Linked DNA regions of Caenorhabditis elegans. The protein of the gene in region 2 purifies or fractionates together with the protein of the main gene of each other region. This does not show direct contact. Each region holds a gene or a part of one and is shown on either strand. Other genes may lie near its edges.

Region 1 (6,727 bases), 470 kb from region 2:
CGGCTCTCTGTCCCTGGCAAGATGCTCATCCCAAGTTGCAACAAAACCCATATTTTCGGAATCTGTATGGATATATCTATATACTTCAAGTTTCAGACGTAAATTTCATACCTGCTATGCTGGGAGCTGGATAGTATGCTTCCCACTGTTGAGCTAATGGATTTTGGTTGGCCTCGGAGCCCGGAACGAGGAAATGCCAGACGTCTGGAAGAATAAGATATCGTGATGAGATAAAAACTTGGTGACAAAAAACGTACTTGGAATGTGTTGAACTCTTTGATGAGCTCGCAGGGTTGAGTCAAAATTACTTCCATCGCGATAGCCGGCTCTTCCGTACCCATACACGTGGCTCATTTTAGATTTTTGAAGCTTTCTGAAACAAAATTGGAGTTTGAAAATTTACAACAAAAGACACACTTTCAATCTCAATGTTAAAAATATCACAAGACAGAATATATAATTTTTGGCAAAAATGTGAATTTTTATGGGTGGGAAAAATGGTTGCCTCCTCTCCCATCCCAATAAAACGTAAATGTTAATAGTGAAAGAGAGGTCGACAGGCGATGGTATGCCCCCCAGGAAGGGTGGGGTCATAATGTGCAAAATGATGATACATACTCTGAGAAAAATATGCCTAGAAAATGAGAGAAGTAGAGAACATCTGAAAAAAATACACGGTTTTTCTTTAGTTGATGAAAAGGCGATCAAATTTTGAAGTCTTAAAAAATTAAATTGTAAGAATATTTTTTGGGACTGCCTAGCAATTGTCTGAACGTCGCTGAAATTGCCAGAAAAACCATCTGCGAAAAATTTCTGTAAAATCCTAAAAATTATATTTGCCTCTTAAAAACAAGAATTTTATTAAAAAATAGAAAAGTTGAGGAATATGGAAGGTATGTGATAATTGATTGAAATAAACTGAACAGAAAATTTCAAAACAATCGCTGAGATACTGAGAATCATGGAAAAATAAAAAAAAGATTATTGAAAGTGAAGTTTTCCTGGAGATAATGAGCATGGATTGAGTCAGTAGGGAGCCGGAGAAAAAACGGGAGAAGAATCTTTTGGTCGGAGGCTTCACTCTGAAATTTGTTTCGATTGGAATCTGTGTCCTTTTGTGTTAAAAGGATTTTGTCTTTTCAAAACACGGTATTGCCTGAAATCAGCTTGTCGCTGGTGATGTGGTGAATTTCACATTTTCAAGCGAATTTTTTTGATCTTTCTGGTTGGTTCAACGTTCTTTTTGTTGATCCAGGTTAATTCTTTTTAGGGAATAGACCCTCTGCCTGACCTGCCCAAATTGCCTAGTTACAAGTCTAACTGTCTAGTTACAAGTATCCCTACAATCCTAAAAATTTCCATAGATCAAAGAATCAGCTAACATAAACTTTCAAAGTTGCCGGTGACCTCAAAGCTCCCTCACACCAAAAGTATGAACGAACACCATGTAATATGATACACCTATTTGTTGCAAAATATACGGATGAGCAGACATCTATCCAAACTGTGAACACCGTGAAAAGTAGCAACAGAGCTGTGTTGCGCAATAGGTCAATTTGGCCGATTGCCAAGTAACCCCCGAGGGCTACTGTAGCAGCCTCCTGCCTGATTACCGGCGTGTATGTTTTTGTTTGAAACCCCCTATCTTTTGCACTGGTTTTTTTTGTTGTTAGAAGTTAAGACCTTGAGAAAATGGGAAGTTGAATCCAAATTTTCAGTTCTGAACGCCAGCGATACTAGATAAGTTATATATTTTTTAAATTTTTTTCAATATTACTTTCAAAACCACATTAAAGCTTTTCCTTGAAATTAGCATCTCGGTTAATTTTTAAAAACTAAGTAAATTCAAAACCACCTTATCTACTTGTTACATTTTTTCGGAATTGTTTTGGTCCGCTTGCACAATTCCACAGTCTTTTTAATCGGCGCCTGAAATAATATTATATTTAAAGGGAGATTTCCTGATTAATTTTCACTTACGGTACTTGTGCATCCCCGCTTTCCACGGCGGCACGCAACATTTGAAGGACCTGGGACCTGAAAAAAGTATATTCAGATTTTTGAAAAATTTGATTTTAATATTGAGTTCAAAAGGGACGTTGTCAAAAAAAAGGCTCCCATTGTGGTAAAATGTTCCAATATCAAAAGTAAAACTTTTCAAAAAAATGTTGAAATTTTCAATTAGCAGTCAAAAAGAAGTAACTGTCATAATTTTGGAATTTGATCAAAAAAAAATTTTTTTTAACGTTGTTTATATATTTTAAAATCTGCAAAAATTCTCGAAATTACTCAAAAGTCCACATTTTTTGAAAATTTTTGGCAATTGACCAAACTGTGGCTGGAAATATAAAAACCTTAATTTTAAAATCTGGGGATTTTTGATTATTTTTGAAGTATTTAGGCTAAATCCTTCTAGCAAAAATTACCTGATCGGCCGGCGCTTGTTGCGATCTTCTCGCAGGCACGTTGGCAGGAACGCTGACCCCCGAAGTGCCTGAGTTCTGAAAAAATAAATTCAATTTTTGAAATGTTGGATTTAAGTGTTCTTTTCAGAAGTAGCGTTCTCTAAAAAGCTACCATTGTGATAAAGCATCCAAATACTATAGTAAAACCAAAAAAATTGATCAAAAATTGATAATTTCAAATTGCAGTCAAAAGGCAAAAAAAGTCAGATATAACTTATAATTATTTTGGCAGTTTGTTAATAAAAATATCTACAATTTCTATTTTTTATCAAACATTCTAAACGTTCAAACCTCCAACAGTACTCAAAGAATCCATATATTTTTAAAAATTTTGGCAATTAGCCGAATCTTTTGCTGGGAATTTTAAACAATCTAATTAACTTAATTATGATATTTGGTAATTTTAATCAGTGTATTTGGACTAAATCCCCTAAGCAAGACTTACCTGCTCAACCTCCGGCTTCTCCTGAATATCGGATCTTCTTGCAGGCGCAGTTCTCAGCTCTTCCAGCTCACTTTCCCTGGCTTTCTTCAGAAGCTCCGATTTCTCTTTCTCGAAGTTCAACTCCTCTCTTTTTCTTTCCAGTAGAAGTTCCGATTTTTCCTTCTCAAAGTTCAACTCCTCCCTTTCTCTTTGCAATCGAATCGTCAATTGTTCTTTCCTGACCCGCTCCACTTCAATTTTCAGCTCCAAATTGTTGAGATGGTCCACTTCGAGATTTCTTTGAGCCGCTTGGGTTAGGAGATTTCTTGCCTGAGCACTATCTAAAAATTGAATAACGATGAAAGCTTAAAATTTATCTAGAAAATTGAAAAAATACCGTTCTGCCAAGAGGGTCTGCGCCGAACTCCGACAGGCTGTGGTGGAGCAGCTGAATTATTTTTTTAAATTATATTACATAGAAGTGAACAACTAAGTGTTTTCAATTTTTTAAAGTAAACATGTACAGTTCCTCTCGACGATCTCCACCGAATTTTCTCGAAGTTCTGGTCTGGCAGGAGCTGCACCTGAAATAAGATTTACTACATGATTTGGCCAGGTTAGTTGTTTTCTAAATTTTAAATTCGCAATTTTTTTAATGTGATGTGAAAATTTAGGACCCAAAACTTACAAACTTAACAGAATTTAAAAAAAACTTACTCGGAGCCTGTTGTAGTCCAAACGAAGATGGGACTGAAAAAAAGTTGTGAATAAAAATGTTTTTCAGCTGCTCTATTTGAGGCCACATGGTACGATACTTTAAGGCCAAAAACTCACAAAGTGTGGAAGTGTTTGATCCACTCATCGGAAAAAAGGTCATTGGAACGGCTTCTCCCATGACTGGAAAGGAAGCTGGAACTATTTGAGCATTAAAAATTCAAGTTGTCACTGAAAAAATCTTACGGAAAACAGCTCTAGCCGGTTGGTTGAACAAATTGTTTGGCTGTCTTCTTGGTGGCGACGATGGGGAATCTGAAACAGGGAACTTGAAATTACAGAAAAAAAAACTTGATGTGAAATATTTTTTAAAACAAAAAGATACTCACTGGAGCGGGAATGCTGCATTTTGGTTGGCTTGAAGAGGGTTTTATGGACACTGAAAAATTTTAATTTAAAAAATACTTGAAAACTATTTTTCATGGAATCATGAAAAAGATATTAAAAATAAAGTAGGTAAAAAATTCCAGACTGGCGCAGTTTTTTGGCAAACAGGGGAAAATGTCTAATTTTTTCTTCAGATATTTATTTAGAAATATATTTGTAATTTTTGAAAATAACTCAAATTTTAGTGGAGAATTTCGATAAGTTGTTCAAAAACTGACTCAAATATAAATTCACATAGCTATTTCGTGTCAGGTTTTGAGCAACTTTTTGGAGCTTATAATCAAATATAAAGTTATTTTCCAAAAGTACGAATATTTTTCCACGTTTCTGTAATAATTTTGAAAAACTGCCAAAAAGATGAGAGAAGTGGGCTGACGGAAAACGTGACTAACACGACAAATCATCTTTAAACTTTGACTGCTTTTATCTCGATTATCTTTTGTTTTATAGGAATATTCAAAACTGACAAATTATTTGTTGAGTGTTAAACTTCAGTTTTGTAGTTGAAAGTTTACCGATATCTTGAAAGAGAACCTAGATATGAGTAGTCAAAGTGAGAATGTTTCACAATACATACTACTAGAACCCGAGCTTCATCAATGAAGTTGTAAAACCAAAATTGAGAATCGAAAAGTCTAAAATTCAAAAAAAAGTGTTCTCCAATTGCAAATGTTATGAGAAACTAAGCATTCAAGGTTGCCTAGTTGTAAACATATTTCAAAATCCAACCGAAGAGATATATGGAGAGAGAGAGAGAGAGTTAGTGAAGGGGTGAGGGCATAGACGTATTGCCTACCGTATCACAACTTGCCAAGCACAGTTGGTAATTTGATACTTGGTAGGTTAAGGCATTCAGAGCGGGGATGAGATCTGGAGCTTGAAGCTTTTGAATGCACGGACTGTGTCCACTAATGAGGTGATACGGAAGGGACCCAAATTAATTAACTAGTAAGACATCTCACAATGAATATGAATTACTAATATTCACCGTAACAAAACTGCAAATTGAAAATTTACTAAATTTCCCTCCTTTATCACACAAAAGGTGTTATCTTTGTACTTTCAATCGCTGAGAAAGAGATATAATTCAAAAAAAAAGATTTGATGAAAAGAAGAAAAGTGCAAATATCGGCGGCGTTCAAACGATTGCCTCGTTGCATCAGACATAAAAGAGCCAAATGGACGTCATTGATAATGGGATTGAGAGGGTTAAGTGATGGCAGGGTTGCGGAAATATTTTTGAAAATGAACAAAGAGTTTTATGAGATCTGAAAAAGGTAATTTTTTATTGAGAAGAAAACTGGCTACAATAGAAAGCACAACTAGAAAATGAAATTTACACAACAAAATAAATATAAATGATCAACTAAATAAAATAATAAAATAGGAACTAAAAGGTATGGCTGAAAATTCACGTTTTCTGTAACTGCTTAAAGCTTCTGGCACCGACTGGAAAGTTGTTGGTAAATTCTGAAAGAGCTTAAAATTTGCAACAAAGTTTCTGAAAGAAATTTTGAAAAAAGTTATTTTGAAGTGATTTATAAACACAATTACTTTAGAGATAGGAGATATGCACACCGAGGAGACCCCGGAAACAGACTGGAGTATACATTCCTGAAATGAACCCAAGGTACATCCACCGGTACACTTGATTAATATTTCAACTAATATTGTTAAAGGGTCGAACATGGAAGAGCTGAACAATCCAAAGTTTTCTGAGAAGCACCAGTCATACTCACGATCTCCAAAATAAGTTTTTTAAATGGTTTTTCTCGAGTTTTTTATGTAATAAAAATAATTCAAAAAAATTGTACAGAGTATTAAAAGAACTTTAAAAAAAAGAGAGTCGGAGAAGAATGAAATATTAATTTCCGTGCCGCATCTTGTTTTTCCTCAATGACAGTCTCCAGTCCGTTGAATAGGTCTCCGCTTGCCCCGCATCTCTTCATACGCATCCGTTTTGTTGTGAATTGCTGTTCGATGCCATGTCATTCTGATCTAGTACCTAAAAATTTAAAAATTGTCCCGTGAAAAGAAATGAAAAACACTTGCCATTTGTATCATACTGTAAAAACTTACCCTGTTTGCATTTACACAACTCAGGGTAATCCCGTTTGCTTTCACAACACACTTTTCTTCATTATGTGCGTTCAGCATCTTGTATGCGTAGCTTTTTGGCGCAAATGCGACAAATTGAGCAATTTCCCAACCATCTGGCGTCTCAACAGTCATTGGAAGTACAAAATCAGGAATAGAGCAGTTGCTAAATCATAGAAAATAACAACAAAAAAATAAAGGGTAACCACCAGTCACCCAAGAGCAACCACCAGTCGCTCACATCAATGGAGGAATGACATCCTCTACTGTCAGCATACGTAACTACCCTTTGTGTCCGCCACAAAACCGCAGCCAATTGGCAATCTTGCTCAGCTCCTCTCTGTCGCCTTGCAGTTGTCTCCCCCTATTTTGCCTATGAATGGTCGCTTTCATTTAATAATAAAATACGCATTGAAAGGTATGGCTGAAATTGTACGTTTTCTGTAACTACTTGAAGCATCTGGCATCTACTGGAAAGTTGCTAGTAAATTCTGAAAGAGCTTGAAATTTGCTACAAACTTTCTGAAAGAAATTTTAAAAAAAAGTTATTTTGAAGTGATTTGGGAATTTTCAAAGTTTT
Region 2 (8,508 bases):
CTTCCACTTGATTTGGATGGTACACACTCTCACTAGTGTTCCCTTGGCATGGCTGACCGTGAGGCAAACTGGTCTAAATTATAGTGTTTATGAATGTAAAAAAAAAGTTAAAAACGCTTACCCCCTGAGAAATTTGCAAAAATTGACTCAACTGACTCTTAGGACTGAGGGAACGAAAGAATTCTGAAATTGCAGACTGATGCTCTTCTTGCTCAATGGCTTTTCTCTCGAGATAGTCTCTTGTGACTTTGATGATTTCATCAGGTGATACAACTATGAATGGCTTCAATGGTCCTTCCAATAGCTCGGCCAATTTGAAAATGAAAGTTTCATTGGATAAGGATTCGTTCGCCGGCTCCAATTTAGACTGCTCCAAGTGCTGAACCTCCATTGCATCTCTTCTCATCTTGACGTCATTTTCTGAAGTATCCGTGGTTGTTGCAGTTGTAGAAATTGCTTTTCTCGATCGAGTCAAGCAGCGTCTGTTGAGCGGTCTCTGAACACGAGGGATCTGAAAAATGGAACTTAAAAAAAGGATTTGGCGATAGTAGACTTACCGGTGCTCCACGCTGATCGTGGCCGTCCATATTATTCGCGTTTTCGAGTTGCACTATAGGAATCTGGCCAACTTTTTCGGTTGACAATTGATTCGGAATCATAATCAAGCCAGCAGAAAAGAGGGAATGACCATGCACGGTCTGTCCATCACCCTCCCTCTATATTTATTCATTCTGCGTCTCTTATCCCTCTCCTTGTTGGTCAAAATGGTCCCCTGGGAAATTATCGATCTGTTCGCTCGATTTTTTTGGCTGCACAAGGTCTCACGGGAATCCAGGTTGGCAGGATCTCAGACAAAAAATTATAAATCTTGTAAACCATATCTTGGAGTATCCATAAGACTCAGAAAAAAGAGTGCCTTCGCCGGCCTCAGCGGTCGCCGCGCCGGCCTCACGGCGTCACTTACGCCTTTCATTGATAAACTCGTAAACTTTTTTTCTTAATTTCTTAATTTTTTTCTAAAATTTAAACAAATTATTAGAAATGAAAATTTTAAATTCACGTCAACAGTATTGAAAGCGGCGAACGGCGAAGGCGAAGGCCGGCGTGGGGCCCGCATTTCGCGCCTCACTCAGCTGGGAACCCTACTTCTATCCATCATAAGGATCCCAGGAAGCTGTGTACTCCAAATTCAAAATGGTGAGAATCACGAGTCCAAGTGCCGTCAGAATGATGCCAAGGATAAAGCTCATTATCATCATTGGTGTCAGCATTTTGTCTTTTTTTCTTCTATTTTTTGATATTAAGAATTGTGAAAAATTCGATTTCAAATCGATTAAAATAACATTGAAATCACACAAAAATAGAATTTGTTTTGAAAAGTTCAAAAACACGTACAACATCGACAGGGTAAAATTTTCCTGAAATTTAAATATATTTACAATTAATTTATTACGTTTCTTAATAGTGAAAAAAACAGCCTACGTACCTATTTCAGGAATGCCTCGCCTACGTGCCTATTTCAGGAATTCCTTGCCTACGTGGCTATTTCAGGCTTGCCTCGCCTACGTGCCTATTTCAGGCATGCCTCGCCTACGTGCTTATTTCAGGCATGCCTCGCCTACGTGCTTATTTCAGGCATGCCTCGCCTACGTGCATTCCTCAGTTAGATTGCAATAAGTTTTTTTATGAAAAAAAATTACGTAAGTTACGAATAAACTTTTAAAAAATAAATATTAAATTCATAATCCACGCTGCCACTTCCAACTCGAAAAAAATTATTTTTCAATTTTCCAATTATTTTTTGTTGTTAACATCGATTTTAAGTAAGTTTCTATCACTTTTTTTCGCATTGGTAACTTGAAATAATTACAGAAAAGTGCTAAAATGTCTCAGCCTAGTGTAATAATTCCTCAGCAAAATGCGATCATTCCTCAAGGAAGTCCAGAAGCGTCTCAGCAAAGGGAACCAACCCCTCCGAAACCTGAAGAGCCGCCGAACGAGCCGACATGGTTAGACAAGACAATATATCATCCATGGACGCCATACATCACAATAATTGTGACCCTTGCGCTTCCCATAATCTTTGTTTTGGGCTCCTCGTTGTACTTGAGAAGCGAAGAAACAGAAATCAAAGTTCCAAGGTAAGAGGTTCTGCTGGACACCTTTTCAAGTAAAATTTTCAGTAACTTGTCTGTGAATCCGATATTTTCAACAAATGCGACAACGTCATCACAAACTACGAAGCCAAAATTGATTTATAACGAGATGAAGAAGCCCCGGACAACTTTGAAACCATCAACTGCTCCGCCAGAATCCTCAAAGGCCCCAGCATCTACTGGAACCACTTTGGCGACGAATCCTACGATTACTGGTCCACCTGGAACTGGAAAACGAAATAATTCTCGATTTTTCTAATAACTTGTGTTCAATAAATGCTTCTAAAAATTACTGAAAGTTATTAAGGGGGAGAAATACAGAACTAATTTATTACAGTTGACAATTTTTAATCAAACAAACGACAACTGAGATATAAGCTGGAAAAGTTAAGTAAAGAGAATATACGGTAAAACTGTCCTTCGCTAAAAATCAATAACTGGAAAGATTTTTCCAACTAACCTGCTTTTTAAAATGAGCAGCGACTCTGTGAATTTCCAAATTTTTTTGTGAAGAGGTACGAGTAATAAACAAAAATGTCACTCTAGTCGGAGCAACGATTTAATTCGATTCAGTCCACGAGAATTATTTTTAATGCTTATTGTATATTCGTAGTTTTTCACTATTCGAAATTTTAAACTCTGAAAAAAATTTGAATATAAAATAAATTTTCAAACGTGTTCTAAATTCTAAATTCACTTTTCATTCAAGTTGTTTTTCCGTGAATCGATATCAAAAATGAATCATTTCTCAACTTTTACTTTCTTATCTCTCGTTTTCTTTTGAAGATCAGTGCAGGTAATTTCTCAGTTTTTTTAAATTGATTTTTGAATCGATTTTTAAATCAATTTTTCCAGAAAAAAAAATCCCAAAATGTCTGCGAAAGATAAGCTGGCCAATCCTCTGATTGCTCTAGTCGTGTTCCTGGTTCTCACAATTATTGCACTCCTCGCCACTATTATTATCATGAAGCTCAATGAAAAGCCAGTGGAGCCGCCAAGAGTTGCTCCGATTGCTCAGAAGTTGGTAGCTCCCGAGAAGAAGTCAAGGCCTGAGCCGGTGACAAATCCGGTGACGATGACAAGGCCTGAGCCGGTGACTCAGGCTTCGAAGCCAAGGAATGTCTGCGAAACTCCAGGATGTGTAACTTTGGCTGATCAGCTTGTAAGCTTTGATAGCAAAAAAATAGTTTACACATTTTTTTAAATTATGAAATTTTCTTCCAGCTCAACTTCCAAGACCCCTCCGTAGACCCATGTCAGGATTTCTACAAAGCCGCTTGCGGGAAGTATTCGGAGCACGAGGTGGCAAATCGAAGACTGCAGAAGAAGGATATCATCATTCAGAGAATGATTAAAAGTTGGAAAATTCTTGGAAATGCTTGAAAAAAAACGAACAATTTCAGATTTCCTGCTGAAAAATGAGACTTCTGAGTCGAAATCTGAAAATGTGATGAGGCAGGTGTATCGGACTTGTGAGGGGTTGAAAAACGAAGAAGTGAGTTTGAAAAAGCTTGGCTTGAAGGCTTATAGGCTTATAGGCCTTTAGTCTTATTGGCTTGTAGGCTTATAGGTCCTTAGGCTTATAGGCTTCAGGGCTTATAAGCTTATCTTATTGACTTATAGGAATGTAGGCTTATTGCCTAACGATTTTTAAGATAATAGGTTTGGAAGTTTATAGGTCTTTAGGCTTATAGGCCTTTAGGCTTATAGGCTCAAAGGCTTATAAGCTTATCGGTTTATAGTTTAGTAGGCTAATTGGCCTAACGATTTTCAAGATGATTGGCTTCAAAGTTTTAATATATTAGGCTAATCGGCCTTTAGGTTTTTAGGCCTTTAGGCTTATATGGCTTTAGGCTCATAGGCTTTTACGTTTATAGGCTATACGGTTTATAGGCTCATATGTAGGCCATAATAAGCCCATAGACCGTATAGGCTTGTTAATTAATAGGCTCATAGGCGTGTAATCTACTAGGCTTATCGGCTTGCTTGTAAGATATCAGACCTATAAGCGTTTAAGCTTTTTTTTTTGGCTTTCAATCCTTTTAGATGTTATGTATGTGTTTAGACCAATGCGCTTTCAGGCTTTTAGGTCTTCAGGCTTATAGTCTTGTAGGCTTTTAGGCTTATAGGCCTCTACATAGGTTTTCAGGCTAATAATAAAAATTTCAGATTTTCAATGCAAATATGAAAACTGCCTTCAGAGAATTATTCAAGGATATTCAAAAAATTGGATCATGGCCAGCGGCAGACAAAAATTGGGATGAGACTAAACTCAACTTGAATGGTACTTATTTTAAGCTTTAAATTTGCTGAAAATTCATTTTTTCCAGAAATGTTGCTCAACATCGTCAAGCTTGGTAGCAGTAATTTCGGGCTTTTTCAAATCCGTCCAACTGAAGTCCCATTTTTGGAAGTTGCTCCGGATATGGCCCGGAGCCCAAAGGTTTCTGCGAATTTTCAGCAGGTTTTTGGGAGAAATTCTGAAATTTTTGGCATGATACCTTTTTCAGATAATTTTTGATATTTTGGAGAAGAATGGGCTTCAACCGGATGAAAATGTAATTGCCGATGATGTTGAAGACTATATTACGTTGGAGGAGACTTTGAGCCAAGTTTGTAGAAAATTCTGCTAAATAGGTCACTTAAAAATATTCACTTTCAGTACGCCTATGACTATAACGCCGAAAAAGTCCAATTTTCCAAGCTTCAAGCCCAAGTTCCTAGTCTGAAATTGGAGAAGATTATCGAAGAAATGATGAATCCGAACCGGAAAAAGCTGCTAGTTACGAAGGTTAAGCCGAGAATGGTAGCTCACAAGCATTCGCTGTTTTTTGATGAGAAGATGAATGTGGGTTTTTTTTTGGCATTCAGCAGAATATGAGCCTTTTGAAAAAAAATTTCAGCTCGAAAAGCTGCTGAAATCCACACCGAAGCGAACACTGGCCAACTATTTGATTTTTTATTATATGGACCACGCAATGAATGGTCTCTCGGTTCACGACAACGTGATTAAGAAACGAAATTGTGAAAAGGTTTGAACTACGCGGGCACGATCAACCAATCAGCGACGGTGGCCACGCCCCTTGTGGATTGGTTGGTCAGCGATTGATTGGTCAGCGACCACATTGAGGCTCGGAATTTGAATTATGCGTTACAACCGTACTCCTACCGTAATCAATACCCGTAATTTGTTTTCCAGCTTGTAATAGAATACCTCCCAAAAGCATCACTCCGTGTTTTTGTCCGAAATCATTTCGAAAAAGGAAATCTGAAAATCGTTGACGAAATGGCTGAAGAAACTAAGAAATCCTTCATAGAAATGCTCCAAGAATCCACGTGGCTCGGAGCTGACTCCAAGAAAAATGCGATTTTGAAGCTGGAGAAAATGGGCAAAATGATTGGTTATCCGAAGGAATTCGAGAAAAAAGGAGCACTGGATAAGATGTTCGAAACGGTGAGCATGCTTAAATTTTTTTCAAATTGGGATAATTTTGCAGCTCAAACTTCTCCCCAAAGACACCCTTTACGGGATTCTCAAGAAGATCGGAAGATTCCATATGGAGCAAGGCATCGAGTTTGTGGCTCTAGAGACACCGATGGATCCGGTGCTGCCGGTTCTCATGACGAACGCGTTTTATACTGATCGAAATCATTTGTGTGAGTTTTAACCAGCAGTCGACATTTCATGGGTCCAATAGTTCAGACCTCCGAGATGGTGTCGGCTGCAATGATTGTAAACTGTCAAGAGCAGCCGACAATTCACGGGTTGCAATTTACACAACCCATTATATGTCGGCTGCTTAAAAACCGCTTCCACCTTTCAGCTTTCCTTGTCGGGTACATGGATGATCCGCTTTTCGACGCCACCTACCCAAAATACGTAAATATTGCTCTAACCGGAAACATTTTGGCTCACGAAACTAGTCATGGATTCGATACAGCAGGTATAAAGAGGGACGAAAACGGAGAAGTCAGAAGTTGGATGAAGCCGGAGGATTTGAAGGAGTATGGGAAGAAAACTCAGTGCCTGGTAGATCAATACAATGAGTATGATGATCCGGTTTTTGGCAAAAATGTGAGTTTGAGGTAGTCACGTAAACACGTCTAGGAACGTAGGCACGTAGGCACGCAGGTACATAAGAATCTAGGCGGATACCTAGGCACCTTAACATCCTGGAACCTAGGCATCTAAACATCCAGGACACCCAGGCACGTAAGCACGTAGGCACGTAGGCACGTAGGCACGTAGGCACGTAGGCACGTAGGCATGTAGGCACGTAGGCACGTAGGCACGAAAGAAAATTGTCAGCTCAACGGAACTACAACTCTCAACGAGATGGTGGCCGACATGATTGGAGTTACAGTTGCTTGGAAGGTCTTTGAAAAACTCGATTCATCAAAAGAGCAAAAAGTCATTGGATTTGAAAATGAAAATATTGATAAGCTCTATTTCAGAGCGGCTGCTTTGGTAAATCTTTTAAAAAATTGAATTTTTAAATGACTTCCTAAATTCCAGGATTTCTGCTCGTTGCCCCCAACAACAAGCCTGGTAGAAGAGCTCACCAGAGTACACCCGACTGGAAATTTCCGTGTCAATGGGATCTTTTCCAATATGCCACAATTTGCGACAGCATTCAACTGCCCAGAAGGATCACCTATGAATCCCAAAACGAGGTGCTCGATTTTTTGAATAAAGAATAATTTTTTATTGACATAAAATTTAAATATAAATGTTCTTTTTAAACTTGAGTGATTAATTTTTTTCAAATTCAATATTTTGTAGGTCAAAACGAGACGAGAAGAGTTTTCAAGGGAAGAGTCACACGGTAGAATTATAAAATCGGAAATATGTACATTTTCACGGGAGAGACCCGTAAGGCAGCTTTGGGAACTAATGAGAGAGGCACAAATATGCCTGCCTGCAAGCCTGCCTAGTCAGGCAACCTAGTTAGGCAGGCAGGCAGCATTTTTGTGCCTATGTAGGAAGAATCAAAGAGAGCTTGAGATAAGGAGCACAGACAAAAAAAGGAACAGATTACCAAACAATACATTTATGATCTGGGTTAACTGGAGCATTACGGGGACACTTGTAGACGTCAGCAAAAGCTTGCATATTCGACAGGACACCAATTACTCGGAACACCTCTGGAGAATGCTCATCGGTGAGCACTTGTTGCATCGCTGCGGCTTCTTTCTTCTTGCCACACCAGAACTGGAAAAATTTTGATTTTTTCGCTAATCTGAGGGATTTTTAGTGAACGATTGGTTCATTTTTGCCAATTTTACTACAAATTTCAAAACAGGCAAACAACTCACATGTGCATAGCTGACAAAGAAGATCTGCTCATTCGTGTACTGCTGGAGACCGGGTAACCTAGGCTCTTCTCCATTTTCGGTCACATATTTCTGATAGGCTTGGAACGCTTCTTTGACTCCACCGTTGTCGGCAATGTTCTCTCCTTGGGTCAGTTTTCCGTTCACCTGGAAATACGGGGTTATCTCAAAAACGGTATGAGATAGAAAATAAGTTTCAACTAGAAAAATGTTCAGAAGAAAATTTCACACAATTTGTTAGTTGAAACCATTTTTATATCTCTAGTCAGAGCGTCTAGCCGTCTGCGTCTCTTCTCTGCGTCCGACGCCTCGCGGGTCTCTCTTAGTTGTGAATCAATATCCTCCCACGCCTTTTTCCCGTGCTTACCCTAAAGTTAGTCTTGGGCACTGTATAGTTCCCGTACTGCTCGACAATACACCTCCTCCTTGTGTCAAACGAATTCAACGAGCTCTCACTCCACCAATTGTGCAAATTTCCGTCCTTATCATACTGTGATCCTTGATCATCGAATCCATGAGTAATCTCGTGCCCAATCACTGCTCCAATTGCTCCGTAATTCACTGCCTTGGGAAATGTGCCGGAGAAGAACGGAGGTTGCAGAATGCCCGCTGGGAATGCTGGAATTTCAATTTTGGTATAGATCTTGAGGTAGGTGGAACTTACTGATTGCATTCTTTTCGGGGGAGTAGAACGCGTTTACTACAGCCGGTGAAATGTCAAACTCGTGCTTGTCGAATGGTTTCGTGAGCTTTTGGAACTCGCGGCTTTGCATCCAGACGACACTCTTTTTCATGATGTAGTAGTAGGTATCGGAGTCACTGATTGATAACTGAAAGGACTTATATTTGGAATGTAGAGATGGCGGGCTTGGGCTTAGGCTTAGGCTAAGACTTGGGCTTAGGCTTAGGCTTAGGCGTAGGCTTAGGCTTAGGCTTTGGCTTAGGCTTAGGCTTACGCTTAGGCTCAGGCTTAGGCTGAGACTATTTTTCTATATCTGAATTTGCTATATTTTTGATA

What was found.
Region 1: the proteins of nep-6 (region 2) and F53C3.8 fractionate together in Caenorhabditis elegans (co-fractionation; one large-scale study listed by BioGRID). This does not show direct contact.

Annotation. Positions count from the first base shown.
Region 1 is NC_003280.10:3,888,708-3,895,434, reverse strand, and holds F53C3.8 (Protein BRANCHLESS TRICHOME), read right to left. Parts: upstream 4,012-6,727; coding exon 3,993-4,011; intron 3,919-3,992; coding exon 3,850-3,918; intron 3,799-3,849; coding exon 3,724-3,798; intron 3,640-3,723; coding exon 3,607-3,639; intron 3,474-3,606; coding exon 3,414-3,473; intron 3,338-3,413; coding exon 3,287-3,337; intron 3,231-3,286; coding exon 2,911-3,230; intron 2,502-2,910; coding exon 2,427-2,501; intron 2,038-2,426; coding exon 1,981-2,037; intron 1,930-1,980; coding exon 1,861-1,929; downstream 1-1,860. Other genes in the region: F53C3.7 (uncharacterized protein), read right to left, coding at 1-62, 112-204, 258-354.
Region 2 is NC_003280.10:3,413,811-3,422,318, forward strand, and holds nep-6 (NEPrilysin metallopeptidase family), read left to right. Parts: upstream 1-3,017; 5' UTR 3,018-3,027; coding exon 3,028-3,318; intron 3,319-3,380; coding exon 3,381-3,513; intron 3,514-3,559; coding exon 3,560-3,651; intron 3,652-4,325; coding exon 4,326-4,440; intron 4,441-4,486; coding exon 4,487-4,620; intron 4,621-4,666; coding exon 4,667-4,768; intron 4,769-4,818; coding exon 4,819-5,004; intron 5,005-5,059; coding exon 5,060-5,188; intron 5,189-5,355; coding exon 5,356-5,610; intron 5,611-5,653; coding exon 5,654-5,813; intron 5,814-5,980; coding exon 5,981-6,231; intron 6,232-6,465; coding exon 6,466-6,624; intron 6,625-6,672; coding exon 6,673-6,846; 3' UTR 6,847-6,862; downstream 6,863-8,508. Other genes in the region: F18A12.7 (FBA_2 domain-containing protein), read right to left, coding at 1-73, 122-511, 558-659; F18A12.2 (uncharacterized protein), read left to right, coding at 1,885-2,141, 2,184-2,415; nep-11 (Neprilysin-11), read right to left, coding at 7,192-7,368, 7,473-7,637, 7,858-8,108, 8,155-8,320.